Linked DNA regions of Rhinolophus ferrumequinum. The protein of the gene in region 1 interacts with the protein of each later gene in a pairwise test. Links are inferred from orthologs where the notes say so. Each region holds a gene or a part of one and is shown in the gene's direction. Other genes may lie near its edges. The genes, in order: myomegalin, TNIK, IMMT and CCDC146.

Evidence for each region.
Region 2: the proteins of myomegalin (region 1) and TNIK interact in a two-hybrid assay, tested with the Homo sapiens proteins (2 studies listed by BioGRID and IntAct). The link is inferred for Rhinolophus ferrumequinum from reciprocal best matches to the Homo sapiens genes PDE4DIP and TNIK.
Region 3: the proteins of myomegalin (region 1) and IMMT interact in a two-hybrid assay, tested with the Homo sapiens proteins (2 studies listed by BioGRID and IntAct, with this or other methods). The link is inferred for Rhinolophus ferrumequinum from reciprocal best matches to the Homo sapiens genes PDE4DIP and IMMT.
Region 4: the proteins of myomegalin (region 1) and CCDC146 interact in binary tests that used the Homo sapiens proteins (3 or more experiments, as listed by UniProt). The two-hybrid records come from large-scale screens. The link is inferred for Rhinolophus ferrumequinum from reciprocal best matches to the Homo sapiens genes PDE4DIP and CCDC146.

Annotation. Positions count from the first base shown.
Region 1 is NC_046305.1:49,320,661-49,327,909, forward strand, and holds the start of myomegalin, read left to right. Parts: upstream 1-4,234; 5' UTR 4,235-4,953; coding exon 4,954-6,078; intron 6,079-7,249. UniProt on the Homo sapiens protein: Functions as an anchor sequestering components of the cAMP-dependent pathway to Golgi and/or centrosomes.
Region 2 is NC_046285.1:71,065,532-71,072,371, forward strand, and holds the start of TNIK (TRAF2 and NCK-interacting protein kinase), read left to right. Parts: upstream 1-3,824; 5' UTR 3,825-4,194; coding exon 4,195-4,251; intron 4,252-6,840. UniProt on the Homo sapiens protein: Serine/threonine kinase that acts as an essential activator of the Wnt signaling pathway. Recruited to promoters of Wnt target genes and required to activate their expression. May act by phosphorylating TCF4/TCF7L2.
Region 3 is NC_046296.1:8,225,141-8,232,933, forward strand, and holds the start of IMMT (MICOS complex subunit MIC60), read left to right. Parts: upstream 1-4,778; 5' UTR 4,779-4,916; coding exon 4,917-4,961; intron 4,962-7,793. Other genes in the region: MRPL35 (39S ribosomal protein L35, mitochondrial), read right to left, coding at 1,658-1,700. UniProt on the Homo sapiens protein: Component of the MICOS complex, a large protein complex of the mitochondrial inner membrane that plays crucial roles in the maintenance of crista junctions, inner membrane architecture, and formation of contact sites to the outer membrane.
Region 4 is NC_046303.1:46,629,551-46,637,554, reverse strand, and holds the start of CCDC146 (coiled-coil domain-containing protein 146), read left to right. Parts: upstream 1-4,986; 5' UTR 4,987-5,118; exon of another isoform or gene 5,119-5,238; intron 5,239-8,004. Other genes in the region: protein FAM185A, read right to left, coding at 1,408-1,517, 4,095-4,524. UniProt on the Homo sapiens protein: Essential for sperm flagellum biogenesis and male fertility.

The DNA of each region.
Region 1 (7,249 bases):
CTTTTTTTTTTTGGGGGGGGGGGGGGGCGTAGTTTTTAGTAATTAGAACAGCTATTTCCAATGTCATAACTAAGGCAATGAAAACCTAATAAAACTGGCTTGAGACATGGGGATTTTCCACATCTCATTCTCTTGGAAACTCCTTCCTCACCCAGAATTAGGTCTTAGAAACACTACAACACAGAGGGTACAAAAGTGGCTAAGGTTCTAAGAGAGCCTTCCCAGGGCTCCATGATCTGGAGATCAAAAGAGAGATAGTGCAAAAGATCCTGGCCATACTAATATTTAGGAAGTTTGTTCCAAATTAGTGATAATTCTCTAACGTCAACACTTTTGTAAGTAGTTCTTCGTTGATGGGTTTTCCCATTTATCTGCAGAGTGTCTAATCTTTTGACTGACATTTTACTGAATACAGTTTAGGATTGTTTTAATTCAGTGGTTTTCAAAGTGTGGCTCCCAGACAGCAGCCAACAGCAGGATTTGGGAATTTATTAGGAAAGCAAATTCTTGGGTCCCACCCCAGACCAACTGAATCAGAAACTCTAGTAAGTAGGTCCCAGCAATCTCTGTGTCTTTACAAACCCTCCCTGATTCCAACGTACGCCAAAGGTTGAAAACAACCGTTTAAATTCAACATTTGTAGATTAGGAAATTAAGGACCAGTTATTAGTGATTTCACCTAGGACATACAGCTAACAAGTGCTTGGGAGTGCACTCATCAATCCATTTTTGAGGGCAAACTGCTGATATAGCAAATGAATAATTTGTTTAATTTATAATAGTTTGTCACAATATGAAACCTGTTCTCAAATTTTCCTTTCTTATGTACCTTTGATACGTTTTAGAAATAATCATCCTATTCTAAATGATCATAAAATCCCGAAATCTCACCTTAACAACATGGCATGCTTCAATCGTAACTGTGTGGTGTGCACAGACATATAATAGTTTCCAAAGCTCATATGGATAGGAACCATAAAGTTTTGAATGTGCAATTGGGCCTTTTATAGAAAGAGTTCTAGATTCTTCTGGGTTCTAATGTATCTTCTCAATTTTCAAACCTATTCTTATGATAAAGTGGGGTTTACTTTCTACCAAAGAAATCCATCAGATAAAAGTTTATGGGTAATATATATTTTTATATTTATATACCCCTTTTTATCTTTCTATAAATTGAACTATACCAACATGTATAAAATCTACAAATCTAAGAGTTCAGTATATGAGCTTTGATGGTTGTACACATCCATGTAACCATCACCCAAATCAAGATAAAGAACAATTTCATCACCCCAGAAAATTTCTTTGTACCCCTTTACTGTCAATTCTCACCCTATCTCGTCCCCTAAAATCACTTCCTGAATTTCTCGCACTATAGATTCTTTTTTTGTTGTTGTTAGACCTAAAATAAATGGAATCTCATGGGACGTATTGATGGGTATATGACTTGTTTCATGCTTCATTCATGTGGGCATCAAAGTTCTTTCTTTTTTATTGCTGGTTAGTACTGCATTGTATGAATATATGAAAATGTGTTTTTGCTTACCTTTTTCTTAGTAATAATTTTTTTTCTTATCACGAAAGCAATACATGCTTATTATAGAAAATGATAGAATATCAAGGAGGAAAGACGAAAATAAGCATCCATAATTCCATTCTCTAGACATAATTGCTGTTTAATAACTTGTATATTCCCTTTGAACCTTTGTTTATATGTTGTGCACATATATGTAATATATATAGTTATCACGTTACAAAGATTCTCATTTTAGGTTCATGTTTTACTACTTAGACTCTGATACTCGTGTGTTAAATTGGCTCAGTTCTTAGTTTTTACTATAGAATATTCTCTAAATTTAAAAAAAATTAAAAAATAATAGACGACTACACATTCATGGCCAAAAATTCAAATGACACGTGGTATATAGAATAAAAGTAAATGTTCTTGTTGAGCCCCACCCCCTTTTGCTTGCCTTCCCATACGTAGCCAGTGTTAACTAAATACAAAATCTTGACCAAGATGACATTCGTGAGGACCGTGAAATGCTGAATTTATTATCTCTTATCTTAATTTTTAAATTTAGTATTACAGTTTTCTTCTATGTTTTATTTTTCAATTTTTGCGTTCAAGTTTTGCTGTCTACACACCAGTGATCTTTTAGTTGGGATGAAATGATTTTATAATAACAAATGATTATGTTAGGACTATTTCTAGTACTAAAGTTTACTATCCATTTTGAAATATGGTTTTTACATATTTTCTCTAGGAGTGAATAGAGTGCTAGCTTCAAATTTTCTTTGATTGAGTGATTTATTCCGATCTGTTGTTGAAAGCCTCGATATGTATAGCTCTCTCTTTTGGTATGTTGATCTGTACTTATAGCAAACAAATTCTCCAATGGTAAATCGCCTTTTCTCCATTTATACTGATTTGCACTTCTACACGAAGCTGTCTATATACTCATTCAAGTTTAGAGACGCTCGGCCAGATGCACAATTTTATTAAGGAACAGAGAATATTACAAAGTATTCTTTAGTTTGCTCCTGAAAAGCACTTTGTTTCATTAGCATTTTCACCCCCTGGGAAAACGTGGCTTGCATTCAGTCAGAGATGAGGCTTGATTAATTTGTTAGGAAATTTTTGAATTTGCACTTTTATGGAGTTTTGAGTCCTTGCTGCTGTTTAGGACAATACTTAAGACAGCGTCAGCAGGGTCGTGTCCTGTAGGCCAGAAACACCTTGCCTCTCTTTAGATCATATAGATTCCAAAGACTGTTGTTTAATTTCTTCTGACTTTAGAGTTCCTATACCTAGAGGCAGGCAAAAATGCAGCTGAAATGAGTTTTACTCTTTTTCTCGTCTTTGGTTTGAGGGCCAGAACACGCAGATTTAGGTGAAATCACATACGCAAAGTTTTGGAGCCTGTGAAGCCCCAAAGCTCTAAGGACTGACCTGTCTTCCAACGGAGCTACTAAGATTTTTGTTTTGGTGATTAAAATAAATGACAGAACAGTACAATCTTATGTGTGTAGAGCCCCATAAAGTTTTAAAATTACTTTAAAATAGTCCCTTTATTACAATATCAAAATAACAGTATTAAATATTAAATATTAAATATTAAAATTACAGTATTAGCTATTATTTAAGGAGCTAAGCATTGTTACAAAGTACTTCCCCTAAATCATCTCATTTAACCCTCGAGACATTTGGAGGCTTTTATGAGCTCTCACTGAAGGCATTTGAATGTCTCCAGGCTTAGGAATGTGGGTTCTGTCTTGCAGATGAGGTTCAGCAGTGCTTAAATACTGTTGTTTGCCTTGACCTCTCACAAGGTCAAGTTAGTGACATTTAGCATTATTGTCACTGGGAAATGTGCTCCAGGTGATTGCTGGGTCGGTTTTTCTTCCTGTTTGGTGTCTGCCTGCCTCTCAAAGCCAAGAAAATTCTTTAAAAGTACATTAACACCTGGATCCCTCCTGGTCAGAGCTCCGTGTTCCCTCCAGTGTTTGCTTGCGCCCAAATTCTACACCCAAGGTTGGGTGACTTACAACTGTATGGTGGTGAATAAGACATGGTACTAACTGAAGTCAGTGCAATTCCCAGCCCTAAGTCTGCACAGAGCAGCACGGCCTCACACGCTGGACGCTTTTGTTCCAGAGTCTGTCTACCCTCTCCACCCCTCAAATAAGGACTGTAGTCTACCTGAACCTGAAAGAGAACTGGGTGACGGTAATCTACTCTCAGGTGTCTACATTCTTGAAAAAGTCCATTTTGTCTGCTATTATCTACAAAATCTTGGTTAACCAGCTGCATTCACGTGGTATTTCCGGGACTCTTTCTCAGGTGACTGCTTTGTGCCTTCCCTTGATTTCTTTTGTTAAAAAAAGGGGGGTGGGCGCAAGTCATCAGAGTGCTAAAACCCACCACCCACACCCTCCAACACTTGTCTTCTTCTGTACATACTCCGGATAGCCGAGGGAGAGGTAGAACGGAGCCTCCTTAAATCCGCCCTACCTGCCTCCTCTGGTTTAAGAACCCTTTCTCCCCGCCGGCCTCTGCAGCCGCAGGGCCTTTTAACGCAGGCACCGGCCTGGGGAGGGAGAGGAGGTGGGGCCGCAGGCGGGAGGGGAGCGGCGCGCAGCGGTACCTAGTGGCGCGGCGCGGCCCGGCGGCTCCATCCGGAGTACGTGGCACTAGCCGTGGGGAGAGAGGGAGGGGATTCGGCTTTCTCTTCCCCACGCAGCGCCTCGGGACATCCTGCAGGGGCGACAGTGAGGATCCAGGAGGGAAGTGGTGCGCTTTTTCGGTGGAATCTCAAACGATGAAAGTGGCCTGGCGGTAGTCAGCGTCCGCCCCGCATTCCCCTGGGTACCCACTGTGAGCCAGGTCTGTGTTCCACCGCGAGGAGCGGTGACCCGATTGGGGGGTGAGGGAGACGCGGTCGCCACCCCGCATGCGCAGAGCGGGGGTGCGGCCTCCAGGACTACAGTTCCCAGAGGAACGTGCGGGTGGCCGCAGGCGCGAGCCGCTGGCGCCATCTTGAAATCTGATCCTCAATCTCCGAGCCTTTGCGTCAGCGGCCGGCGGCGGCGAGGGGACGGCGAGCCCAGCCCGCTAGAAGCGAGGACGCTGAGGACGCGGCGGCTGGCGGGAGAGACAGCTGGCGGAGACATGGCAGGTTCCGAGCGCGGCCTGCGCGGCTGTCACTCAGCATCCCCCTGAGGCGTTTCTCCGCCCGCGCCCTCCCCGAGGGGCGGGGCCGACCACTCTGGTACCCAGAGCTCGCGCGCGGGGCTCGGAAGAGGGGCGCCCCTGCACCGTGGGGACCCCCCGGGGCTGTGCCATGCCGGCGGGAGGCCACCGAGGCGGGAGACGGAGCGCAGCCAAGCGCCAGTGAGTGATCGCCGAGCAGCGGGCGCCTCAGGGAAGCGCGGCAGCCGCCGGGAGGGAAGATGAAGGAGATTTGCAGGATCTGTGCCCGGGAGCTGTGCGGGAACCAGCGGCGCTGGATCTTCCACACGACGTCCAAGCTCAACCTCCAGGTTCTGCTTTCGCACGTCCTGGGCAAGGATGTCTCCCGCGACGGCAAAGCCGAGTTCGCTTGCAGCAAGTGTGCTTTCATGCTCGATCGGATCTACAGATTCGACACCGTTATTGCCCGGATCGAAGCCCTTTCCATCGAGCGCTTGCAGAAGCTGCTGCTGGAGAAGGACCGCCTCAAATTCTGCATTGCCAGCATGTATCGCAAGAATAACGATGACCCTGGCGCGGAGCCCAAGGCGGGGAGTGGGACGGTGGACATTTCCGGCTTACCCGACGTGAGGTACTCTGCATTGCTGCAGGAAGATTTTGCCTATTCGGGGTTCGAGTGTTGGGTGGAAAACGAGGACCAGATCCAGGAGCTCCACAGCTGCCACGCTTCGGAAGGCGCTGGACACCGTCCCAGGAGATGCCGCGGTTGTGCAGCTTTGCGGGTTGCCGACTCTGACTATGAAGCCATTTGTAAAGTGCCTCGGAAGGTGGCCCGAAGTATCTCGTGCGGCCCTTCTTCCAGGTGGTCCACCAGCATTGGCACTGAAGAACCAGCACTGTCCGAGGTGGGGCCACCGGACTTACCCGGCACCAAAGGACCCCCCGATGGCGAAAGCATGGAGGAAGGGACACCGGGATCCTCAGTGGAATCTTTGGATGCAAGCGTCCAGGCTAGTCCTCCACAACAAAAGGACGAGGAGACTGAGAGAAGCGCCAAGGAACTTGTCAAGTGTGACTGTTGCTCAGATGACCCGGCTCCCCAGCCTGTGTGTAACCACAAGCTGGAGCTAGCTCTTAGCATGATTAAAGGTCTTGATTATAAACCCATCCAGAGCCCCCGAGGGAGCAAGCTTCCCATTCCGGTGAAATCCAGCCCACCTGGAGCCAGGCCTGGCCCTATCATGACAGATGGAGTTAGTTCTGCTTTCCTTAACCGGTCGTTGAAACCCTTTTACAAGACACCTGTCAGTTATCCCTTGGAGATTTCAGACCTGCAGGAGCTGTGGGATGATCTCTGTGAAGAATATTTGCCACTCCGGGTTCAGGTATACAAAATGGCTACATCGTGCTTCTTTGATCATAGTTTTCTGGCCCCCAGGCTTCACGTGATTTCTGTCTAGGTGAAGGTTAATAATAGTCTAGACTGAAGGATATTATTTCTAGAATTAAGAAAATAATCATTGCACCCATTTTTGTTGCACCTTTTGCTTGTGTCCCATTTAAATGAGACCCAGTAAATGTGTCCCAGTAAAGGAGATTCACATTCAATTTGCTTTTCATAATCCTCTTTGTAACAATATTGGCCTTCCCATTCATTATCAAAACTGCAGACCTTTCAAGACAAAAAGATAAAGATTTCTAATTCACGTTTACCCAATGAAAAGACATATAATCTTACTTCTGGCACTAGAACTCTTCCCTCCTTCCCCCTTCTCACCCCCTTTTTTGTTTTGTTTTCGTGTTTAGATTTGTAGATGTTTTCTCTCATTCTGTAAGGGAGTTAGTTCTCCCTGAAACATTAAACCTTTTATCCCCGATACGCCTCAAACAGATTAGAGCATAGGGTAAAGGTTTGGGGAAAACCTATTAATTCACCAAAATATTGTAACATGTGGACAATATTTATACAAAAGTAATAGGTCATTTGAGGACTAATGATGACTTGCTCATAAAAGAGACTTGGGAATTCAAGGGTTGTCATTTAAAATGTTAAGGCGAAAACTGTTCCCAGCCCGTTAGTCTATTGAGCTTCTTTAGGAGATGTGTAATGATATTAAGAGAGGATTCATCCATTATTGAGTGATAGGAAAGTTTCATCCATTATACTCTCTGAATTTCTTAATGACCAGGATATGGCAATTGATCTTAGTTTGAGCTGTTCATATCTGCCGAATTGATTTCGTGCCAGCCTTTTAAATTCAGCTATATACAGGGACCTGACAGATGCTGTTGTGTTTCTATAGCAACAGTAAATGCTAGGTTCAGTTAACTTTGTGAAACATCTGGTATGTTCTACTTGATACAAATTCTTTAGTGATACCTTTACAAGGGTGGACAATCTAGAAGGCATTTTTGGAAAGCCTGCTAAGGTCAACATCATCCTAGAAATTTAGAGCTAGGTAACAAATGAAATTGTAAAATTGTATCCAATAAGAACTTAAGCAGAAAATGGGAGACGTTTTTCAATTTACACAAAATTGTCAGAAACAGCGTATG
Region 2 (6,840 bases), on another chromosome or scaffold:
TTTTTGCGCTATTAAAAATAACTTTGGGTGTTTTAATTCATTTGTTGACTGTAGTTAGTGCCTCTCTTTCATAGTAATAGGTTTCCACAAATGATTAGTGTTCTGGGTTATCTACTCATCTTACTGTTTGGAAATCTCATTTGCCTATTTGTGATGTGGATTCTAATTCTGAGTGTTTGCTTTGCTGAATGTGGTTGTTGGGAAGCGGGGCCGGAGAGGACATGGTGCAAGGCAGGGCATGCAGATAGTTTACCTTCTGCTTGTGGGTGTATGTGGTCCCATTTCTCTTAGCACTTGGTGATCAGTTCCTTGGGGTGATACCCTGTCTCCTTGGCCCGAACGCCCATACTCATAGTGGGTGTCAGGGCTGGGGGTGGACACATCCACCTGCTAATTCTCATTACCTTGCTTAATTTTCTTCATTTCACTTACCACCATCTAAAATAATCTTAGTTATCAATTAGTTATAAGTGTATTATCTGACTCTATGAAGGAAAATCTCCAGGGCCTCGTATTGTGTCTTGCACAGAGTAAATGATCCATACAGTTGTTGAATGAATGAAAGAATGAATGGATGCCATTCTTTAATCGTTCTTCATGATGAAAGTACCTGCTCTTTTTAGCCTTTGCCTCTGAGTTTGAAGCTGCCCCAGCTCTCACTCTGGTCCCACCCCATACAGTTTTGGTTTGTATCTCAACTGGCAGTCCAATCCTGCCTGTGTCTTATACGCTAGGAAGTCCTCTGAATTGCTAGACCATGGATGCTGCCTTTTTTGTCTTCTAGAACTCTAATGAATTTTTTAAAATATATTTTCTGTTATATTTAGGAATTTGTGGTGACATAAGATGTACAGTGTGCTTTTAGAAGCTCCACCAGCAGTGTTACTGATTTCCACAATGTTTATTTTAGTTGGATTTGACAATAAACAACATTGAACCTAATACAGAGAACATAACCCCCTTTGGAATTCTCTTTTTTATAAATATTTTTAAAACAAAAATATTTCAAATATACAAAAAGATACAGAGAACAATATAATGAATAGCCATTAGTGTAATGATCCAGATTTAGCAATTCCAAGCATTTAGCAATATTTGCTTGAGATATTTAAAAAAATAAATTAGACATCATTGTTGGAGCTCCTTTGTGCCTTCCCATTTTAGTTTTCTTCTTCCGTTCTTACTATCCTGAAGTTAATCTATATCCTTCCTGCCTGTGTCCATGGTTTTTATAGTTAAGACAGATATAAACAGAATACAAGCCTATGTCCATGCTTTTTATATTTAGATAGATATAAACAGAATATCGTATTGTTCTGCAGGCTTTCAAACTGCATATATATGATAGCAGTTCTTTCAATCTCTCGGATTACACCCAGAAGAAAATCTCACTTTGGTAAAATTTTGAATGACTTTTCTGGCTTTTGTTAACCTCTCTTTTAACAACTACCTAACAGCAGGCCTCAGAATAGAAGCCTGAAGCAGGCCATGATCGCTAAGTAGAATTTAATGATATTGCTTTATTTTCCATTATATTTATTTTAATGGTTCCCTTCTTCTTTTTTTCTTTTTAGCAAGTGTTGCTAGCTTTCCATTTATAGTAGTAACTTATGTTTCCTTTTAAATGTAAAAAAAAATGTTGATTCAAAGAAAATATTAAGCAAATAACAACAGGGCAGGAGGTTTACCAAGCTCTACCTGATCTGATCTGTCTTCCTCAGGCCAGTAACCACTATTACTCCACCTCTAGCACCAGCTGCTTCAAGTTTCCTCCTTTTCTTCCCTTAGCAGCTGGAGGTGCCTTGGCTATTGTACCTCTCCTCTTATGGTATTTCCTGCAGCCAGCACCCCTGCCTCTACCTGACTCTTGTCATCCTCCGGGCTCCTAGGAAGCCCTCTCCCATGTAGTACCAAATGACAGAATATATAGTTTTGTGATCTAACTCTAAATCCAAGGGTAGAATGTAGTGCCGGTATTACGGCATTCTCATGGTCTGAAACAGCATACTAATGCCGAAAGAAATGATCCATTTCTGATGTTTCAAATAAAATCTGGAGTATAAAATGAAGGTTCTCCATGAAAAAAACAAAGTTTATCTCATTTTAAATATGTTCGGAGTTTTAGCAATAGTGCTGTTCATAGATCTCAATACCTGATTTTACTTAATTTTATTCAACACTTGTCATCTAGATTAAGGGTAAAAAAGGCACTTAGATGGGAAAAATAAGGATAATAATAGGAAATGATAGTTTTCTACGTCATTTCGACATTACTCGGTGGCTTACTAAACCGTTATTTACCACCCTGAGCTGGATGATTTTATTAAAAAATAAGAGATCACATAGAGCGTTTTGAATATAACACGTTTAAACGTTTGTCGTTTTAATGGCAAAAGCTCCTAAACAACTCTGTGGCCATTGAGCTGTAATCTTATTCAAGTTTCATGATGCACAGTGCATATAAACACAATAATAACAAAAACAGCACAGCGCCTATCGAATGCTGTTTAAAAGCCTTCTAATGTCTGCAGTCCTGACGAACTAACTGCTTGGGCTTCCATCCATCCATCCATCCATCCATCCATCCATCCATTCATTCAAAAGCCTTATTCTTAAGCTGGTATCTACACGATAAAAAAAATCCTCAATGCATTTGGCCAGAAGTAAATCTTATCTTAACAGAGGTGCAACGGTGATGCTTTCAAAGCTACTGCTGTATTTGAGCAAAAGTTCAATTTTAGCGTTTCTTTCTACGTATGTATTCAGGATGGGCAAGGCTAGGGAGGGCAGTGGCAGGGCTGAGGAAGCGACTTCACACTCTTGATTACTCTTGAATGTCATGTTTACCACTGTAAATGTTCAGCCTTTAAATGAGAAAGCGGGTGGAGTGGGATTGCTCTCTGGTCGCACATCTCGTCTGTTACATCTCATACGCCAGCCAAACTTTCTCCATCAATCTGGGTAGATCAGCCGCGGTAACGTTCCCTGAAAGACAAATGTAGAGTCCTGAGTCGGCGTGCGCTGCCTTACCCAGTGTTGCCTTTGGAGTTACCTGAAGAATTAGAGCTAGTGCACCCAGAGAGCAAGCTTCTCGTTTCAATTCGGTTGTTTCCGTGGGGGAATTGCGGCACGGGCAGGTCCTGGGTGTGGCGGTGCGAAGAGGGAACTCGGACTCCCAGCTTTCCCGCTTCTGGGAAACCTTCCTACCCGAGTGACCCGCCATCCGGGAGCCCGCGGGCCGCTGGCGGACCCCACCTAGCCGCGGGGGCAAATTGCCGAGGCGCGGGGCAGGGCGCACCGTGCGAGCGCGCGTTCTCCCCCATTCGTTCCGCGGCTGGAGGCGGATCCCTTTCCTTGCACACAAGTCCTTATATGCACCGGTTGCACCAGCCTGCGTTACTCCAGCCCCACAAATAATTAATGGGGGAGGGAGGGCGTCGCTCTTTTTTTTCCCTGGATTTTTTCAGCGCTACAGCATTTGAACCCTGCCGAGAAACCGCCAGATGCGATTAAATGGCCATATTGCTGCAGCGCACGAATTGGACATACAATAATGTGTGTGTTCAAATAGCCCCTTTGCCTCTACGATAAGGACCGCAGGGTTAAGAAACAACTCTTCAAAGCCAGCCCTATTAGTCCACAAAAGCCTGGGAGGAAAGGGTGCCCGCCCCTCCCCCGTCCACTCTGGTGCAGAGGGAACGGGTCAGGAAGCGCGGCCTCTCCCCAGTCGGAGGCCACGCCTCCTCCGCCTCTTTCTCCCCTTTACTCCTCCCAGGAAGCGATGATAGACAGTTCTGTGTGGTTCTCCACCCCCACCCCCCAGCTGAGTGGAGGAGTTGATGTGTCTCATTATAACAGCCAATGCAGCCGCCATCCACGCACAAGCAAAGAAGCATGTCCCATTTAAATACACCCACGCAGCCCCAGCGCCTTTAGCCGATCAGGGCGCGCAGCCCACACGCACCGCTGCTCCGGGGTTGGAGATCAGCGCAGGTTGGGCTCCTGGACCGGGCGGACCCAGGCGCCGAGGATCAGGATCCGGCGCAGTGGAGCCCGGGCGGGCGGGGGAGGCTGGGCCCAGGGGCCTCTGGCGCGACACCCGCATGAGGACGCGAGTGAAATAGACCAAGGTGGAATTTCCAAGGGAAAAGCTTCGGGGTGGTTTTGGTCCATTTCTCTGGCGAAGAAGTAGACATGGCGAGCGACTCTCCGGCTCGCAGCCTGGATGAAATCGATCTCTCGGCTCTGAGGGTGAGTGTAGAACGTTTTCTGATTTCTTTCTCGTGGTTTGGGTCAGGGTGAATGGGATCGGAGCGTCGACTGGGGCTGGTAGGCAGAGGCGGGCGAATGCGACGCGGAGGGAACCTGGGTTCTCGTTTGGATTTGGGGGCTGCTGAGGTGCTTTCTCCGAAGCCCCTAGAGCAGGGGCTGTACGGTACGTGTCCACTGGTTGTGGCCGAAAAACCCCCAGGAGCGTGTGGAGCTTATGCCAGTTTCATCTTAGACCCTTGTAAGCGCATTAAAATGAAAGGCTCGTGTGTGTGTGTGTGTGTGTGTGTGTGTGTGTGTGTGTGAGTATGTGTGTGCGCGCACAAGCCCGGGGCAGTCGTCTCGTGCCAAGGCGCGAGACCTGATTCTTTCTGCAAAAAGAATAACAGCGTGAATAAAGGTACTGGCCCCTCACGTTTTACAGTTACCTGTAAGATGACATTATGAGCCTGGTGGTTCCCACGGAGTGGTCCCTGCTTCTCCGAAGGGGCAGCTGTTTCTATGCTGGTCTTGTAGATGGCAACGGCCCCTCTTCCCCCCTTTTCTGCCTTCCGCGCCCCGACTCCCTCTCAGCGCTCTCTTAATGGCCAGTCTGCCACTCACCTTTATTTATGGTTTAAACTGAGCCCAGCCTGTGCTTTCTGATTTTGTGGCTGTGACATTTCAGTTTTATGGCGAACTTAAGCAGGTGAAAGGGATGTGTTCTCTGCTGTTCCCCAATCAGACCGGAACTCCCGAGTGTGTGTGTGTGTGTGTGCGTGTGTGTGTGTGTTTTCCCTGTCTGTGGCCAGTCCTTTGTAGAGCACCTCCCAACCCTCAGCCCCACCGGCTTGCGTTTACCTTCACGTGAATTGCCTCAGACACCGTTTCATTGTATTGACTAAGACATCACTGGTATAGAATCCATTTTGCTGTTGTTTTGAGACCAGAATCCCAGGAATCCCAGTGCAGCCTCGACGCCTCCCCACCCCCACCCCCCAATCTCAACACTCTCCTTCGGGGAAGGGGGCAGAGCTTTCTTGCCATTTTAATTGGATGCTGCCTGCCGGGAAGGGGATGAGGGGTGGGGGTGGCCACAGCAGCAGGGGTCTTAGAAGGAGTAGATTCCAATTTACAGCCGGCTTCTTCCACTCCTGAACCAAAAATAAAATTTTAAAAAAGCAACTGTATATACAGGAGACATGGAGGGTGGATGAGACCGAATTGATGGTGGCTCTCAAGGCAGGGACGTGCAGGACGGCTGAAGCTTGGAAGTTCACGTTCTATCCTGAGGAGTACATTGTTAGACTGTACTGCATCTTGGGGTTATATCCCTGAATCTCCACTACTTCTCTGGATACTGCCTCCTTCTCCACTGTTATTTTCAAGAGCTATCTTTATGGTCAAAGTGTCACTTTTTCTTTAGTGTCATTAATCCTCTTTCCCTACCTAGCTCTCTCTTTTTTAACTCCTCCTCGCCTTCTCTTGAATCGTTGCATCCAAAAGGTGAGGTTTCTGCAAGGCAGTCAAGGGGTTGAGAAGGAACAGAGATGCCATTTGTAACTGGCGTTTTTGATAGCTGGGCAGCAAAAGCTCATTCATGCATCATTACAGTAAGCTGCCTATTTTACTGCCTTTGAAATGCCACATGCAGAATCCCATGCCCCCTGGGCAGCTGGGGGTGGGGGTTGGTAACAGGGTGGATGCTCTGGCTGAGTCTGTCGCTTCCTTTACAGACTGTGTGTGTATTCATTTGCCCTACTTTCTGCACTGGGAGTTGGTGCCAGCCAGTTAATCAGGTGGATGGATGGTCCAGACTTCAGAGTGGGGGAAAGTGGCAAAGGCTGGGGAAGGCATCTGAACAATGGGCGAAACGTGTGAATTTCCTGAGTCAGAATCTTGACATCGCTCCTGTAATGGAAAGCACTCTGAATTTAAGTTGGGCTTGGTCAGAGGTGTCTCTCGTGGTTTTTCTTGGGGAAGGGTTTTTGAGATACTGAGCACAGAGCCTGCAGGGCTTGTGGGCAACCCTGAGCGCTCGCCAGCAGCTCTGGAGGCAGTTCACACATGGGAGACCTGCACTCCTGAGATCTATATTTTGAAAAAATATCTTTGCAAGATTCACTGAAATTTGTGAATTGGGCTGAGTGCTCTGCCTCTGTATTTGTGCCTGCAGGAGGTATGGAAAGAGGGAGGGAGGGCTAAGGCTAGCCCAGGAGACTGGAGAACAGGCTGCCTGCTGCCTAGAGGACTTACATGCAGATGTGGAGACAGTGGGAGGGCTGGGGTCTGCCACCAGTCTTGTGGTAGGTGAGGTGTGTCGGCCAGGAGTGGGTCCAAAGACCATATAGGTAATTTTCACAAATCAGAGGACAGATCATCTGTCTCTGTCTTCCCCAATTAGAAGTGGGTTCATTGAGATGAGAGGTTTCATGTGTTCCTAAACCCTCAGCCTGCCTGCTGAGAACCTTTTGGGAATGCCTGACCCCTGAAATGCAGCCAAGGTCAGTGGCTTCTAGGAGAATTTGCTGCAGCCTTACCAGTCCCTTGCTGTTTCAGTGGCTCTTTAATGTACACAATCAATGCTCTTTT
Region 3 (7,793 bases), on another chromosome or scaffold:
ACACACACTCTTACCTTAGAGAAACCCCAGCACTCATGTACCAGCACATGAGGTCAATCAGCTTTGTACCTAATCGTCCCAAACTAGAAACACCCAAATACTCATCAACAGTAAAATGGAGAATTGTGGTGTAGTCACATAAGAGACTATCATATAGCAGCAATGAGAAAGCCCTGCAGCTACGTGCAAAATGAATTTAACAAAGTAAAAGATACAAGAAGACATACTGTGTGATACCATTCATGTAAAACACAAACAGAAGAACTAAACAACATATTACTTAGAGATGCACACATAGAGATGCTAAAACTCACACACAAAAAAGACAAGGTAATAAAAACCATGAAGATAGTGTTTACATTTGGCAAAAAAAAGGGACTTTTGACTGGGGAGGTTCACTGGGGTGCAGAGGAAGTTCTATGTCTTGACCTGGGTTAGTTATAGGGATGTTTGCTTTAGAGTTTAGAGATATTGTGGGTTTGGTTCCAGACCACGACAATAAAGTGAATATCGTAATAAATCAAGTCCAACGAATTTTGGTTTTTCAGTGCATATAAAAGTTATGTTTACATTATATACTGTAGTCTATTAAGTGTGCAATAACATGTCTAAACACACACACACACATATATGTGTGTGTGTGTGTATATATATATATATATATATATATTCCTTAATTTAAAAATACTAACCATTATCTGAGCCTGTTGGAAAAAAATGGTGTCAGCTGACTTGCTCCATGCAGGATTACCACAAACCTTCAATTCGTTAAAAAAAAAAAAAAAAAAGGCAATATCTACAAAGCACAAAATGAGGTACAGCCTGTATTTAAGTCATTCATGTATGTTACATAAATTTTTCTTTGTTGTATTTTACAATTTAAAAATACCCCGTGTAAACAAGCTCTTGTATAACAGTTGGAAAAATTTACATGGTAGCATTTTTTTTCTTTCTATTCTTCCACAGAATTTTATCATTTATTTTTTTGTGAATAATTTACTCATAATCTTATCATATTTGAATGATGTTTAATTTTTTGCAAAAATCCTTAGGCAGATAAATTAAGTTGCCTTCATTCCTGTCATCTCAATCAAGAAATCCTATGACTGCCCTTGTGTCTGGGGCTGAGTGAGGAAAACAGCCACACTGTGTCCCTGTACCTTGTGTGAATACCATACATAGAAAATTACTGTGCCAGCACTACTCAAGGCGCTTTACATGCTGGAGCTCATTTAGTCCTCAGGTAGGTGGTATTATCCCTATTTTAGAGTTGTAGAATCTTAAGTTGTGAGAGACGTTTTCAAGGTCAAAGGTCGTGAATGGTGGGTCCCAGGCTCTGAATCAGAAAATTAGGTGGGGATTTTCTGTTTCCCTCGCCCATCTCCAAGCCTCTCCTCGTTTGCTTTCGAGGGAAGGCTAGGAGCCGGTAAGGATGCGGAAACTACGAGCCACCCAGATCCAAGAAGGTCCAAGAGTCTCGGGGATCTCCTGGGCGGCCGAATACAGGCAGCCCCGGAGAAAATTAGGCACCTTCTGGCATCAAATAATGATCCCCTCCTTTTTTTTCCCGTTAACCTCCACGCTAAACCCCCACTCCATCCTGCACCAGTCCCCCCTTCTGTGAACGTAAAAATCGAGCGCGTTGCTCTCCACTAACCTGTTGCTGCTCTCACCGCACTAGCAAATGTAGGGGCCGCCATCTTGCCACCCCGCCGTACGGCAGCCGGCTTGGATCTAAAAGCTTCAGGGCAAAGGGGAATTAAGGAAAAGTAATCTGGGTGGAGTCAAAGAAAGGGAAAAAAAATTAATAAAGGAACGATCAAATCAATTTTTATTGAACGTCTTGTATATGCCAGGCTGTCCTTCATTCCTGTTAAACAAGTGCCTGGCATATAGTAGGCTCTCAATAAATTTTTTTGAACATTTGCTTGAAAAATATTTAAAATACACGACATACGTGAAACAATCTTTTTGCTCATTTTATTCAATTTATTTCTGAGAATAAAACATTATTTTTCCAAAACTGGTAGAAGAATGAGAAATAGCAACATGATTAAAAATTATTTTAAAAATTGAATGCCAACTATAATCAAGTGAATGTAAACCTCCTAAGGATATCACACACATTTTTTCTAATCAATAACACTGACTGTCATTTGGTAGAACAGAATTTCAACTCGTCCTGAACAATTTTACCTTCCTTAGTTTATTCCTGGGAATTAGTGATTGTATGTTTTTTCTAATGTTCATGCAAACAAAAAAACCCAATGAACCTGTCTCCCATCCTTGTTGTCTGAGATATTCCATGCATATACAATATATGGCACTATTTGCTGGTTGAAACAAGTTAAGGGTTATAACATGGGCAAGATCATTGTTGGCAGTAAGAACACCAAGGGTTAAGGTAAGAAGAGAGGGAGCCAAGACAGAAAGACACAGGATTTATTTAGAGCAGTGGTTCTCCAACTTTTTGGTGTTAGACCCTCTTTACATGTTTAAAAATTCAGGACCCCAAAGAGCTTTTAATTATATTTATTAGTATTTACTATACTGGAAATTAAAATTGAAAAAATTAAAAATAAACTAATACTTGTATTAGTTTCCTATTGCTGCTATAACAAATTACCCAAACCTAGTGGCTTAGAACAATGAAGACTTATTATCTTATAATTCTGTAGGTCAGAAATCCAAAATGGGTTTCACAGGTTAAAATCAAGGCATCCAGGGCTGTGTTCCTTCTGGAAGCTCTAAGGGCGAATCTGTTTCCTTGCCTCTTCCATCTTCGAGAGGCTAACTGTACTCCTTGGTTTACAGCCTCCTTCCATATTCAAAGCCAGTAATTGCATCACTCTGACTTCTACTTCCATTGTCATATCTCCTTCTCTGACTGACCTTCCTAGCCCTCTTTCATTCCTCAGGACCCTCACAGGTAATCCAGGATAGTCCTGGACAGTACCCTCATCTCGATATGAATTTAATGATATCTGCAAAGTTCTTTTTGTCATTTAAGGTAATATATTCACAGGTGCAAGGGATCAGGAGTATGTGGACATATTTGGGGATAATTATTCTGCCTACCCCACTTATTTTTAAACAACAATTTATCACATGTTAACATATTTTCATAAAAAATACTCCAACATAAAAGAAATTAGTGTGAAGAGTGGCATTGTTTAACCTTCTTGCACATCTCTTTAAGGTCTGGTTTAACAGGAAGCTGGATTCTGAAATTTGCTTATGCATTCAATCTGTTGTGGTATCTGGAAAGCTCTACACTTAGGAGATAATGAATGAGCAAATATCTTAATATTATGGAGGTCTTTTTTATTTTATGGACCCTGAAAAGGGGCCTGAGGCTCCCCAGGGATCCTAGATCCCACTTTGAGAATCACCGCGATGGTTATCCTTCAGTTTCTCTGGGTTATAGGGCATATAAGTAGGTGATGAGCTTGGAACACTCTTATTGCTATCTTGATCTCCACCTACAGTGGCCACTTCGATCCTAGAAACATCCACATATGGTAGAAAAGCACTCTTGAGACATTTCATAAAGGTTCTTTGAGTTGGCAGTGGGTGTCACTGCAGTTTTTTAACAGGGGAGTGATTTAAATTTCTGAGTTACTTTAGGAGAGTCCATTTTAAAGCCAACAAAAATTCATAAATTGCATGTGGAGAATGAGGATTAGGGACTTGGTTAAATGAGAGGTTAGAAGTTGCTAATGGTATTCAGCTCTAAAGTGTGGCTGTGCCATACATGGCTGGAGCAGACTGAAATTGCTCATTGGCATTGAGAGGATTATGGCCAAAGTGTTAGAAAAGTCATCACACTGGCATCACCTAGCATGACAACAGTGGGCAGGGATGGGTGGGGAGATTGGAGTTCAATTGCTAAAATTACTAAAAAAGATGGGAGATTGCTCTGGAGCCTACTGGGTGATGGTGATATAAAATGGAGAGCAATGTGATTACTACAGTACCTTTCAAAGCATTGAGCATATACTAATATAATTATTTGATTTTAGGTAATTTTTAAATCTTTCTCCATTTTAGAAATGGGATTAGTAGCGTTGTCTACCATACCGTAATATATTACCTAGTTAAGACTTGAAAGTACTTTGCAAACACAATAAATATACAAGTCATTTAGTTTCTATGACATTGTACTAATAGTATTAAATACTGTGTTCAATATTTAATAGGTTGTACCTTGATTACAGACTCAGTGGAATATTCTGAAGTGTTTTTGCACTGACCTTATCTTCCAACAGACCGCGGCCAAATTACCTTTCTAAAATAAAAACTTGGAGAAAGCGGTGTAGTTTGACCTGGAAGGAGCAGAAGCTATGAAATCCGAAGACTCTCGGTGCCTGTCCCTGCTCTGCCATTTGTTAGATACGTGAACGACACATTACGCACAAAAGTCTCTCCAGTGTTCGTTCACAGTCTCCCGCAATCAGGAAGACTCCAGAAGAAGAGCTGTCAAACGAAACAAACGCGCAAGCCAAGACAACACCGTTTGGCCAAACTGAATCCTTTCTGCGAAATAGCTATCCCACAGAGACAGCTGAGATGCTTTCTTCTTTGAATTCTCCGAAGAGTCACGCCTATCCGTTTTCCATACGGATCGAAGCCTGAGTTTCACAGGCCCACCCTCCCCTCCAGTTCACCTACTAACGCCGGATTCGGCGTACAGATCAGAACGCCCAGCGCGACCCGGAAAAAGAAATCAATCTTTCCGCCAGGGGAGGACCCACTAGTATCTCGGAGCTGCGCGTGCGCAGTGGCGTTAATGTCCGCCGATACGCCAGGCGCAGAGAGGCGGCCCGGACGCACGTACGCACGGACGCAGGCGCTCCCCTATTAGTGCCGTTGCGGCAGCGCCGGAGTATACCAGCGGTGCGGTCCTCCCGGCCGAGATGCTGCGGGCCTGTCAGTTTTCCGGCGTGACCTCCGCAGCCCAGGTGAGCTCGAGGGCGCCGGGAGAGAACGCGTGGTGAAGCTGACTCCCGGCGGCCGACGGAAAATGAAGAGGGAGGCTTTCGCTCCGCTTAGGCCCGGGAACAGAGGGGCTCTCTCAGGGCCATCCTCATCACGGGAGTCCCGGACGGGCCAGGCACGCGGTTAATTTCGCCGGACAGGGATGCCTTGAGGGTTATTGCTGAAGCGGGATGGGGTGTGGAAAGGAGATGGCTGGGAGGCGGGCGCAGGACAGGACGCTCGGCTTTGGGGACTTATCCAATCAACCCCTCGCTGCCCCATTCAAGGACCAATCGTGGCTCCTGGAGCCGGGACGCCGGTTGAGCGCGTGATAGGTTTCGCGCAGCCAGTGGTTGAAGGTCGAGGGGTAGAACTACAGTTCCCAGCAGGAAATGCAGAGCCTTGGCTTTGTGCATTTTTAATAAGCAGGTGCTTGGATTGTTAGAGTCCGCGTTTTAGGGGTTAAGGCTGTAATTATTCCAGAGGGACTTTTCTTTTCGTAGCTGAGAACATCTCAGCCATTCTTACCCTAAACAGAAATGAAAGATTGTAGTTTATGGAGTTCCAGTTCTTGGTACTTGAGAAAGGACAGTAGTGATGACCTTGTGCTTATTTCTGAGATTAGCCTGGGGATAAGGTGCTGGGACAACTTTGGCAGACATCCAAGGCACCTAGATACCCAGTTTTATTTCTCCGCAATTATCAAAGTAACTTTCTAAAATTAAAAAGTAAACCTATTTCCATTGCTTATAGTTTTCAGAAAATTGATATTTTGCAAAATGTTGTATTGCAAAACAGTGCTCATGCTATAATGGAACAAAATCCCTAGACATAGTGAATTAGATAGAAATCATAAAAGCCAATGTTTTTTCAAGTTTGCTTATCTCCCCGGATTCATTTTAGGTTAGGAGAAGCAGCCTCTTAAATGGGATCTGTATTAGTTTTCTGTTGCTACATAACAAATACCGCATATTTAGCAACTTAAAACAACACCCATTTGTTATCTTACAGTTTCTGAACATGAATGGCCTGGGTTCTCTGCCCAGTGTCACACAGACTGCAATCAAGGTGCTGGCTGTGGTTCTTGTTTGGAGCTCAGGGTTCTCTTCCAAGTTCACGTAGTTTGTTGGCATAATTGAGTACCTTACATAATTTAGTAACTGTAGGACTGAACTCCCTGTTTTCTTGCTAGCTTTGCCTAGCCTCTCTCTCCCAGAGGCTGCTTGAAGTTCCTTGCCACAAGATCCTCAGAGGCAGTTCATAACATGGATGTGTGCTTTCTTGCAGGCTGTCAGGAACTGGTCTCTGACTTCAAAATCTCTCTTGACTTCCCTGTTTCTGATCTCTAGACCCAGATGGAAAGGGTTTCTATTATTAGGCCACGCCCACCTGGATAACCTCCGTTTTGATTAATTCAAAGTCAACTGATTAGTAACTTGAATGACATCTACAAAATCCCTTTTACCATACAACCCTAATCATGGCCTTAGCAGCAGGGTGTGGAGATCATGGGGGCCTTCTTAAAATCTGACATACAGTCGTCCCTAAGTGGGGCTAGAAGGATGAAGAAAGTAGAGCTGCCTTTCAGGGCAGAATTGTTGAAGTTTGGCTTTGGAGCCCTCCTTTCAGTGGCACACTTTTCCTTATTTTGTCCTCAGGTTGCATCAGAGTTGTCAGTGCTCTGATCCCTCTGTCTGCCCTAAAGTCCAAAATTACTTTTTCCTTTCTTGCTTTTATCAAAATATTTTCCCCTTGCTTTGTTCCCAGTCAGGAAATTAGAAGAAAACAGATTAAGACTTAGCTTGCAACCAACCTTTCTCACCTTCCTAAAACTGCTATCTTACAAGATTTTTTCCCCCACAACTTTTATAAAATGGTTTATTCTTACTATCTCCTCAATCATTCTGTAGCATTTTATACTGTTGTTTAGTGAAATTTTTTTTGTGGGTTTTTTTTTTTTTTTGGCTTTTCTCAGGTAATATCTTGGGGCCCATCTTACCCTTCATCTCTCCTGTTTTCCTTTGTTGAGTCTGCTTCCCCCATGTACCTCTAAATAAACTCCCAAGGTGTTTTCTCACTCTCTCTCTCTCTCAGACTTTGTTTTTGTAGAGTAGTTTTAGGTTCACAGCAAAATTGAGGGCAAAGTACAGAGATTTCCCATGTACCTCCTACCCCTACATATGCACAGCCTTCCCCAATATCAGTGTCCCCCATCAGAGTGGGACATTTGTTACAACTGATGAACCTACTTGACACATCATAACACACAAAGTCCATAGTTTACGTTAGGGTTCACTTTGTGTACATTCTGTGGGTTTAGACAAATGTGTGATGTCATTTTCCATCATTATGGCATAATAGAGAGTATTTTCACTGTCCTAAAAGTAGTTTAACTATTTATCACTACCCCACCCCCGGGCAACCACTGGTCTTTTTACTGACTCCATAGTTTTGCCTTTTCCAGAATGTCATACAGATGGAATCATACAGTATGTAGCCTTTTCAGATTGGCTTCTTTCACTTAGTAATATGTATTTAAGGTTTTTCCATGTATTTTCATGGCTTGATAGCTCATTTCTTTTTAGCACTGAATAATCCATTGTTTGGATGTACCACAGTTTTTCCGTTCACCTATTGAAGGATGTTGTGGTTGCTTCCAAGTTTTGGCACTTAAAAGTAAAGCTGCTCACAATAGTCATGTGCAGGTTTTTTGGACATAAGTTTTCAATTCCTTTGGGTAAATACCAAGGAGCACGATTGCTGGATTGAATGGTGAGGGTATGTTTAGTTTTCTAAGAAACTGCCAAACTATCTTC
Region 4 (8,004 bases), on another chromosome or scaffold:
AGATGTGCTACTGGCATTTAGTATGTAGAGGCCAGGGATGCTGCAATGCACAGGTCAGCCCCTGACACACAGAATTATCTGGACCGAAATGTCAACAGTGCCAAAGTTGAGGATTCATTTTTCATTTTATGCCCACAATGGCAAAAAAAGAGAAAATTGACAAAAAGATCTTTCATAATTACCAGATAAATCAAAAGATGAATGATAGCAGCATACTAGCTTCTAATTTTGATTTGAAACTGAAAATCTAAGACTCTGAATCTTCATCTGCGTGGTGAACATACAATGCAATATACAGATGATGTATTATAGAATTGTACACTTGAAACCTATATAATTTTACTAACCAATGTCACCCCAATAAATAAAAATTAAAAAATAATAAGACTCTGAGTCTTCAGAGGACAATATTTTATATGAATTTTCTGAAACTCAAGCATTGATGAGTAAACTATATATTTCTAAGGAAAAAAGGAACTATGGCATTTCATCCAGGTAATCATCCAACATGAAGATTTCACTGTGCAATCTTTTATAAGAACCTGAACTATCTCATTGTGCTGAAAAAGGATATGTTACAGTATTCTTTAATCTTTTATGAAATTGGTGCAACTAAATTTATTTGGAATGGTTTACATGTGGACAGATGCTAAATGCAAGTATGCAAATAAAAGTGTTTGGAACAAAACTAATAACGTGCAAGTTTTTAAATGCATTAATTACTCTAATTAGTTTATGAATCTAAAAATAAAAATGTTTTGCAATTATGAAATAAAGATGACTGACTTCTCTTCAACAAAGTTACCTGCCACCAAAGTTAACAAAACTATTGTGTTTTGAACATGCAAGTATAAGTAGTACCAGTTCTAGCAAAGATATCTAAAACCTATTAGAGATATATTTGAAATCATCTTCAGCTAAGACCAATCTAATTTTAAGAAAATTAAATATTACACTTGAAACCTACATAGTTTTACTAACCATTGTCACCCTAAAAAATTTTAATTAAAAAATTTAAATATAAAAATGTTATTACAAAACAAGATGAATCATTTGTTGTTTATCACAAATACCTACTTAATCCTTAAGTAATGAGCTACCTGGTACATTAAACATGTGATTAATCTAATATTTTAAAAATGTACTATTATTTTCATGTATACTTCAAAACGAAATCTAAAAGAAATATGAGGAAAAAACTTTCAAAGTTGCTACAACCTCTATATATTCAGAACAGAACTAATGTCTAGGCAAAATTTTTGCAAGTAATTTCTGAGTAATGAATAAATGATATTCAATATTCTCAAAATGGTACTCAGAATAATAGCTTTAGCTTGATATGGCAGTTCATGGTTTAAGGGTTGTTTTAAAAATAATATTGAAACAAAATTAGAAAAGTGCTTATACCTTAATAGACTGTAAGATGCTAGTCCCCTGCTCAGTTTCAATATTGCAATAATCACATTCAATATTTTGGACTTTTATACAGCCAGACCCTGATGATTTGATATTCAAGTCTAGAAATGAAAAAAGAAAAAAACAAGTTAGTACCATGGTTAATGGGCTCCAAAGCATATTCGTACCCCCTAGAAATCCAGCTCCTCAGTTATATCCATAATTACTGAGCCCTGGGGAGAGCATAGTCGTCAGTAGTCTCTCCCTAAAGGTAAGGGGTCTCCACCATGCCAACACCAAATGTAATGCCCTTTTCTGCCAGTTTTTAGAAATAAAGTAGTTTTCGTTGGCCTGTATCATCTAAAGAGAGAAAGTAATATAGGAGGGAAATAAGGGAGGTCAGAAACTCCTAATCTTATAGGCACTCCTGGGAAAAGAGAAGCTTTTTTCCCACTGAAAAAACACACACATACACAGAGTTCGAGTAAGAACACAGCAAGTTTAACAGTCATTATGGTAAACTGGATAAGTCAGTTAGCCTCCTCTCTTATATTCATTAAGATTTAAAAATTTGTTTCCAACCCTCCCCCAAATTAAAAAGCATTTTGCAGGAGTAGCAGGATCAGTATATATGATCATAACTTAGTATTTCAAGTCCTATCTCTAACCTTTCATATCTAAAAAAATAAAGATATTACCACGCAGGTATATCAAAAGGTATTTTCAGTAATGAAAAATGGGAACAACTTTGAAAAACATAGTACTAAACGATATTAAAACCTCAAAATTGTGGATAAATAACAGTATTATCTGAAGAAAATTGGAAAATAAGGAGTCACAGGTGGCATCCTTGGCTGTCAATTTAAAGTGTAATCTTAAGTGTCTCTGTACAAAAATATAAAATAAGAAAACACTGACATTTAATACCTAACTCAAATAAATATTGATGATTTTACTTAAACTAGACTAGAGAAGCAAACACTATATTACCCCAAACACAAACTACTGGGGTGCAACACCACAAATTCAGTAGTTATGGCATAAAAATCAATTTCTTAAATATGTCGCAGTCTCTATAAAGATTTAAAATAATAGCAATATTTTGGTTGGGATTAATCTAAAATACAAAGACAATTTTACCCCATATTTACCTGGATGCAAGTGTAACTGCAAAATTTTTACCCAGTTAAGTAGTGTTACAACATAAGGCTTGACTAACACAGCGTTGATAGACATGGAGAAAGGAAAACAGATTCTAAATATAGTCTACCCTCACTAGACAGGTAGAGAAGTTAAGGCTAGACATTGAGTGACAGTAATACTACTTTCATCCATTCACTGAAACAAGTATCAACAAACTTGATGAATAATAAAGTATGAAGAAAACTGAATTATATTGATTTGAGGAGCTATGGAATAGACACATGGAAACAGTGAAGTGGAAATGGGGTTCTGGCTCTAAAAAGTAGAATCAACAAATAAGAAGGTTTGGGATCACCAACACAGGTAGTTCCATTTTTATTTGTGCTGCCATAAAATTTGGTGTATCTCTATCACAATACTTCCTCTACTTTGTACTACAATAACATTTTGGCAGATCTTCCTCCCCACCCTAGACTGTTACATTTTGAGGTCAGGGTCTCTTATTCATGTAAGCTAGTTAGAAGTTGAGAAGCAATAAAGCACAGTGGTTAAGCAGACTCCAGTCAATTCAAATTTCAGTTCCACCACTTCATCTCTGAGAGCAAACAGGCATACTTCTTGATCTACTCCTACTAGAATATAAACTTCACAAAGGCATGGATTTTTTTTCTATTTGTTCACCCACAATAAATATTTACTTTATGAAACTTGCTGTATCTCAATTTCCTTATCTGAAAGTGTGACAATAACAGTATCTACTTTATAAAGCAATTGTAAGGATTGAAAAGATCATCATAGAAGTGTTAGCTGCTGTTATGATCATCAACATATCAGTCCCAGGAAGGAAGGGAGCCTGGGGAGACTTTCCTACAAAAGTGTTGTCTTGTATTTGAGAAATAACATACAACCCAAATACCTAGAACACACATCTTGCAGGCATTATCAGTTGAAGTTTTCCAGATAGTGTTACCATGTGTTTTTCTTCAAAACCTGCCACTCTCAGGAAATTTACTTAGGCCAAAATGAATGGAGACGCATCAGTTAAGAAACTGGGTGCCTATTTGAAACCAAACACTTGGTCCAGGTTAGAAATGGAAAATCCAATAGACAGGGCTGTTTGGGGACAGACCCCCAGGCTGTGAGCAGGGGGAAATGTGGATGGACTGCCATACACCATTGAAGGGATTATCAAGCAAAGTCAACCTCCCCAAAACAAAACACTTTGCTACTGACAAAGCACAATGAGTAATAGAAACAGGAACAAAGTGCCAAAGGAGAACGTTAAGGGGCTCCACAAATGTCATTTCACATAGAACATTCCAAACCATGTTTCCATTCGATTCATAAAATGTCTATAATTGGGAAACTAATTCGTAACCACTAGGGGGAAACTCAAAGTAGGACAGAAAAAAGCTGCAGCTTCCTCAAGGGACAACTGTAAATTAGGTTGGAAAGTCAGATCCAAAGGGACCAATTAAAAGTGCACTTCCGCCAAATTTGAGGAGGTCCTGGGTGTGCCCTGGGACCCAAACCCGTTGCAACGTCATTTCACTTGCCAAACTTCAGAGGCGCGATCACCTCCACGGACGCCTGGGGGTCAATGGTGTCAGACACAATGGCCACCTCCTTCCGCGCCTCGTCGTACTTCACCTGCAGGTCCGCCAGGTCCTGAGCCCCGCCCTCCACTCCGCTCACCGCGACCAGCACGCGGTCGGCGTCGGGGTATGTAAGGGGGTCCAGGGGCCTCACCGCCAGGTGGCACGGGAGCCGCGCCCGCAGCCGACCGAACGGGCTCACCAGCAGCTCCCACGCCTTCAGAGTCCGGTGCGCGGGGCCAGGCTCGGACCCGGGCCCGCGCTCGCCCCCACCTAAGCCGGAAAGCCGGGCCTGACAAGCCCGACACGCCCAACGTCCGGTGGCCTCGCCGTCCCACACTCTGAGCTGCCGGAGGCAGCCGAGTCCCCAGCCCCAGCGAGGGGCGAACATGGCGCGCCCCTCTCGCGCTCCCTTCGATCACCTCACTCACAGCCCAGTCTCGCCACCGCCAGTCGACTTTGCACCGATGTGCAAAGGGTTTGCTGAAGTAAGAGCAAGACTGCTCGCTATATCCCTCAATTTAAAATCTCAGCCGCTCATGCCTCAACAGCAAATTGAAATGTCAAAGCTCTAAGTATCCACCCTGACCGGACATCTCGCCTACCGACCTCCCTTTCGCAAAGGCCGATGGGATAGGTAGTTCTAAAGGGAGCCAAAGAGCGAAGAGTTCCTGGCAGCTCAGAAACTACATATCCCAGGAAGCAATGCGCAGGTAGTAAGAGCAGGTGTAGCCTACTGCTCCGAAGGCGCGCGTTCTTTGCCTCAACCCCATTAGCCATTGGAGGGACGGAAAGAAAAATCTACATGGCATCCAACTGGCCAATGGAAAGAGCGGAGAGGGCTAAGTGGCAAGGCTGTGTGGTTTCCTTGGATACCGAGGACGCGACTTCTTTAGAGAGGGTGGAGCTTTGGAGTGAGACCCTGGAAGCCATAACCTACAGAGAAAAATAGGAGCCTAAATAAGGATCAGTATCAAGGGAAGGGGTAAGAAACTGCAGTTTTAAAGGTGAAAATTAGATGCAAACTAGGAGTACCGTCAGTGGGTGGTTAGGTCCAAACTTCACAAAACTAGAACGGGGTACCCAGGGATGGAGGATCTCTAAGGTAAGAGGATAAAGAGCCAGATTGGTACTTTTGAGTGAACTCCCTCTTTGACAACAAATATAGGAATAGCATTAGAGTCCTGCCTCCTTCTTACTCTTAAGTAATCTTAGGCCAGTCATTGGACGTCTCTGGGTTTTAATTGCTCGCTTTTAAAATGAGGTCAATAATACCTTCCTTGTCTTGCCTCAAAGGGTTTTTGTAAGGATCAAATCAGATAATGGACTCGAACGCGGTGCACAGGCTACGAAATTGCAGTGTAAATAAAGTACTCTATACTTATTTTAGGGATAACATTGCTCCTAAGTTACGAAAAGAAAAGCTGAGAGATCAGGACTTGTGTTGACAGCAGTATCGATCTCTTTAACTACAAATGATCCTCGGTTTTAGGGCTAAAATGAGAGACAGAGAGAGAGAGGGAGGGAGGGTGGGAGGGAGAGAGAGAGAGAGAGAGAGAGAGAGAGAGAGAGAGAGAGAGAGAGAGAGAGAGAGAGAGAGAATATCGTGCAATAGGAAGAACGTGGGACTGATTATTTTCCTGCCTCTGCACCTGGTTTGTGTGTGTCACCTGGTCCTGTTTCTTCAACCTTAAGATGATGAGGAATTGCACTAAATGACTTTACCTTTTATTATTCTGTGGGTAATTTAAAAAATGGAAAAGAAAAGATTTATTTCCTCATTTCCTGCTTCTCTCTCCCTTTCTGTGCCACTTCCTCCTCCTACAAATTATTCCCTAAGTTCTTAGTAAAGACACACTGCAAACAATGACGTTTAATAAAATTCAAGTGTAGAAACTGAATGCCTTTAAAAAACAACCTTTGGCTAACTGCAATAATCAGAATTACTGAGAGCTATCCTGATAGAGAAATGTCTTAGTGAGCTGAGCTAAGGTCCATTATGGGCCCAAGTCATAGAGTTTTTTTGCTAGCCAATACATTTTCAAAAATTCAGTGTTTTCTTAAGTTATTCTTTCCTCCTTTCTGTCCTCTTAGTCTTTCCTCCCTCATTATTCTTCCTCCTAGTGAAGACTCACAATAGGTGCTAACTTTTAGATTCACCAAGTTCCCACTGAATACTAGTTCAGTCCTTGGCTTTGTGTTTTATTTGGTCGTAATTATTCAGACTGATCTTCAAATTGTCTTTTTAATGAAGACCCACGGGAATAACTTTGAAAAAGAATTTGATAAAGGCGTTTGTTTAAGCAAGTTGAGAATGCACTCATATGTGTTGTACATGTGCCAAATATTTTTAGGTTAAATAGGAATCCCTAATAGATAATGTTGTTTCTATGGTAATTTTTTCTTTTCTGAGACACACCAAGTAAATGGAATTGGCAACTGAACCTTCACTGTCTGTGGCAAAATGATTGTTTTTACTATTTTGAAGTAAACATAATAAAACTTAATAGACTGAAAAATTTCTGATCATATGACTTCGAAAATGAATGAATGGAGAATCATACGTAGATAACTTTTCCCCCTTATTTAGAGTGTACTTGTAAGATATTTTTACATCTTCAGTTTTAAAAAAGCTATTCCTATGGTCATGAACATATACTGCTGGTGGGAGTGTAAGTTATTACAAACTTTCCAGCGTTCAGTTCAGCAATATGCATAAACTTCCTTAAAACATATGTATTCATGACTTGGAAATTATACTTTTTGGAATTTAATGTAAACATAAAATTTGGGCTATTCAAAAACAACTTATGTTTAAGGAGTTTTGTTTTACAGGGTTACTTAGTAAAGATAGTAAAGAATTGAAGCAACTTAAATGTCCAAAAATAGGAGAGTCACATAAATTAGTATTCATCTGGAATATTATGGAACAATTTAAAATTTATATCTTGAAGACTATTCATTGGTATGGGAAAGTTCCCATAATATAATTGTAAGGGGAAAACCTATAGTTCTCCTTCTGTGAGTGTCCCCTTTACTCTCACATTACTGCCACACTCACAACAATTCATTGCTGACACTCTAGTAACCAAGTATATGGGACTTCTCCCCACAACAGGCCATTCTCTGCGACACTAGCTGGGTGTCCTACGATTTAACTCAATTGTGACACTATGTGGAGATAATGTCAGGTTCCACAGGTTGAGAGCTCAGTCCCACGAGACTGCTCACACCCACTTCAGATGCTAACGGCAAGTAGTAGGTCCCTACCTTACCCACAACTTCTGTCTGATTTGGCTACAAATCGGTGCTTCCCACAACCCCTTCCTTAGATTCAATTAATTTGCTAGAGTAGCTCACAAAACTCAGGAAAACCTTTAACTTACATTTACCAGTTTATTAGAGGATATGATAAAGGACACAGATAAGTAGCCTAATGGATACATAGTGTGAGGTCTGGAAGGGTCCCGAGAGCAGGAGCTTCTATCCCTATGGAGTTGGGGTCACCCTCTCAGGGTGGATATGTTTACCAACCTGGAAGCTCTCTGAACCCCATACTGTTGGGATTTTTATGGAGGCTTCGTCGCATAGGCATGATAGATTATTAACTCTATTTTCAGCCCTTCTACTTTCTCAAGAGAATGGAGATCAGGGCTAAAAATTCCGCGATTTCTAAGCATGGCTTGTTCTTTCCGGTGACCAGCCCTCATCCAGGAACCATCCAGGAGACCACCCAAAGTCCCCTCATCAGAACAAAAGGCATTTCTATCACCCAGGAAACTATAAGGGTTTCAGAAGCCCTGTTTCAGGAGCCAGTGGCAGAGACCAATATATATATATTTTTTCTATTACCTCACAGTAAAATTAAGTG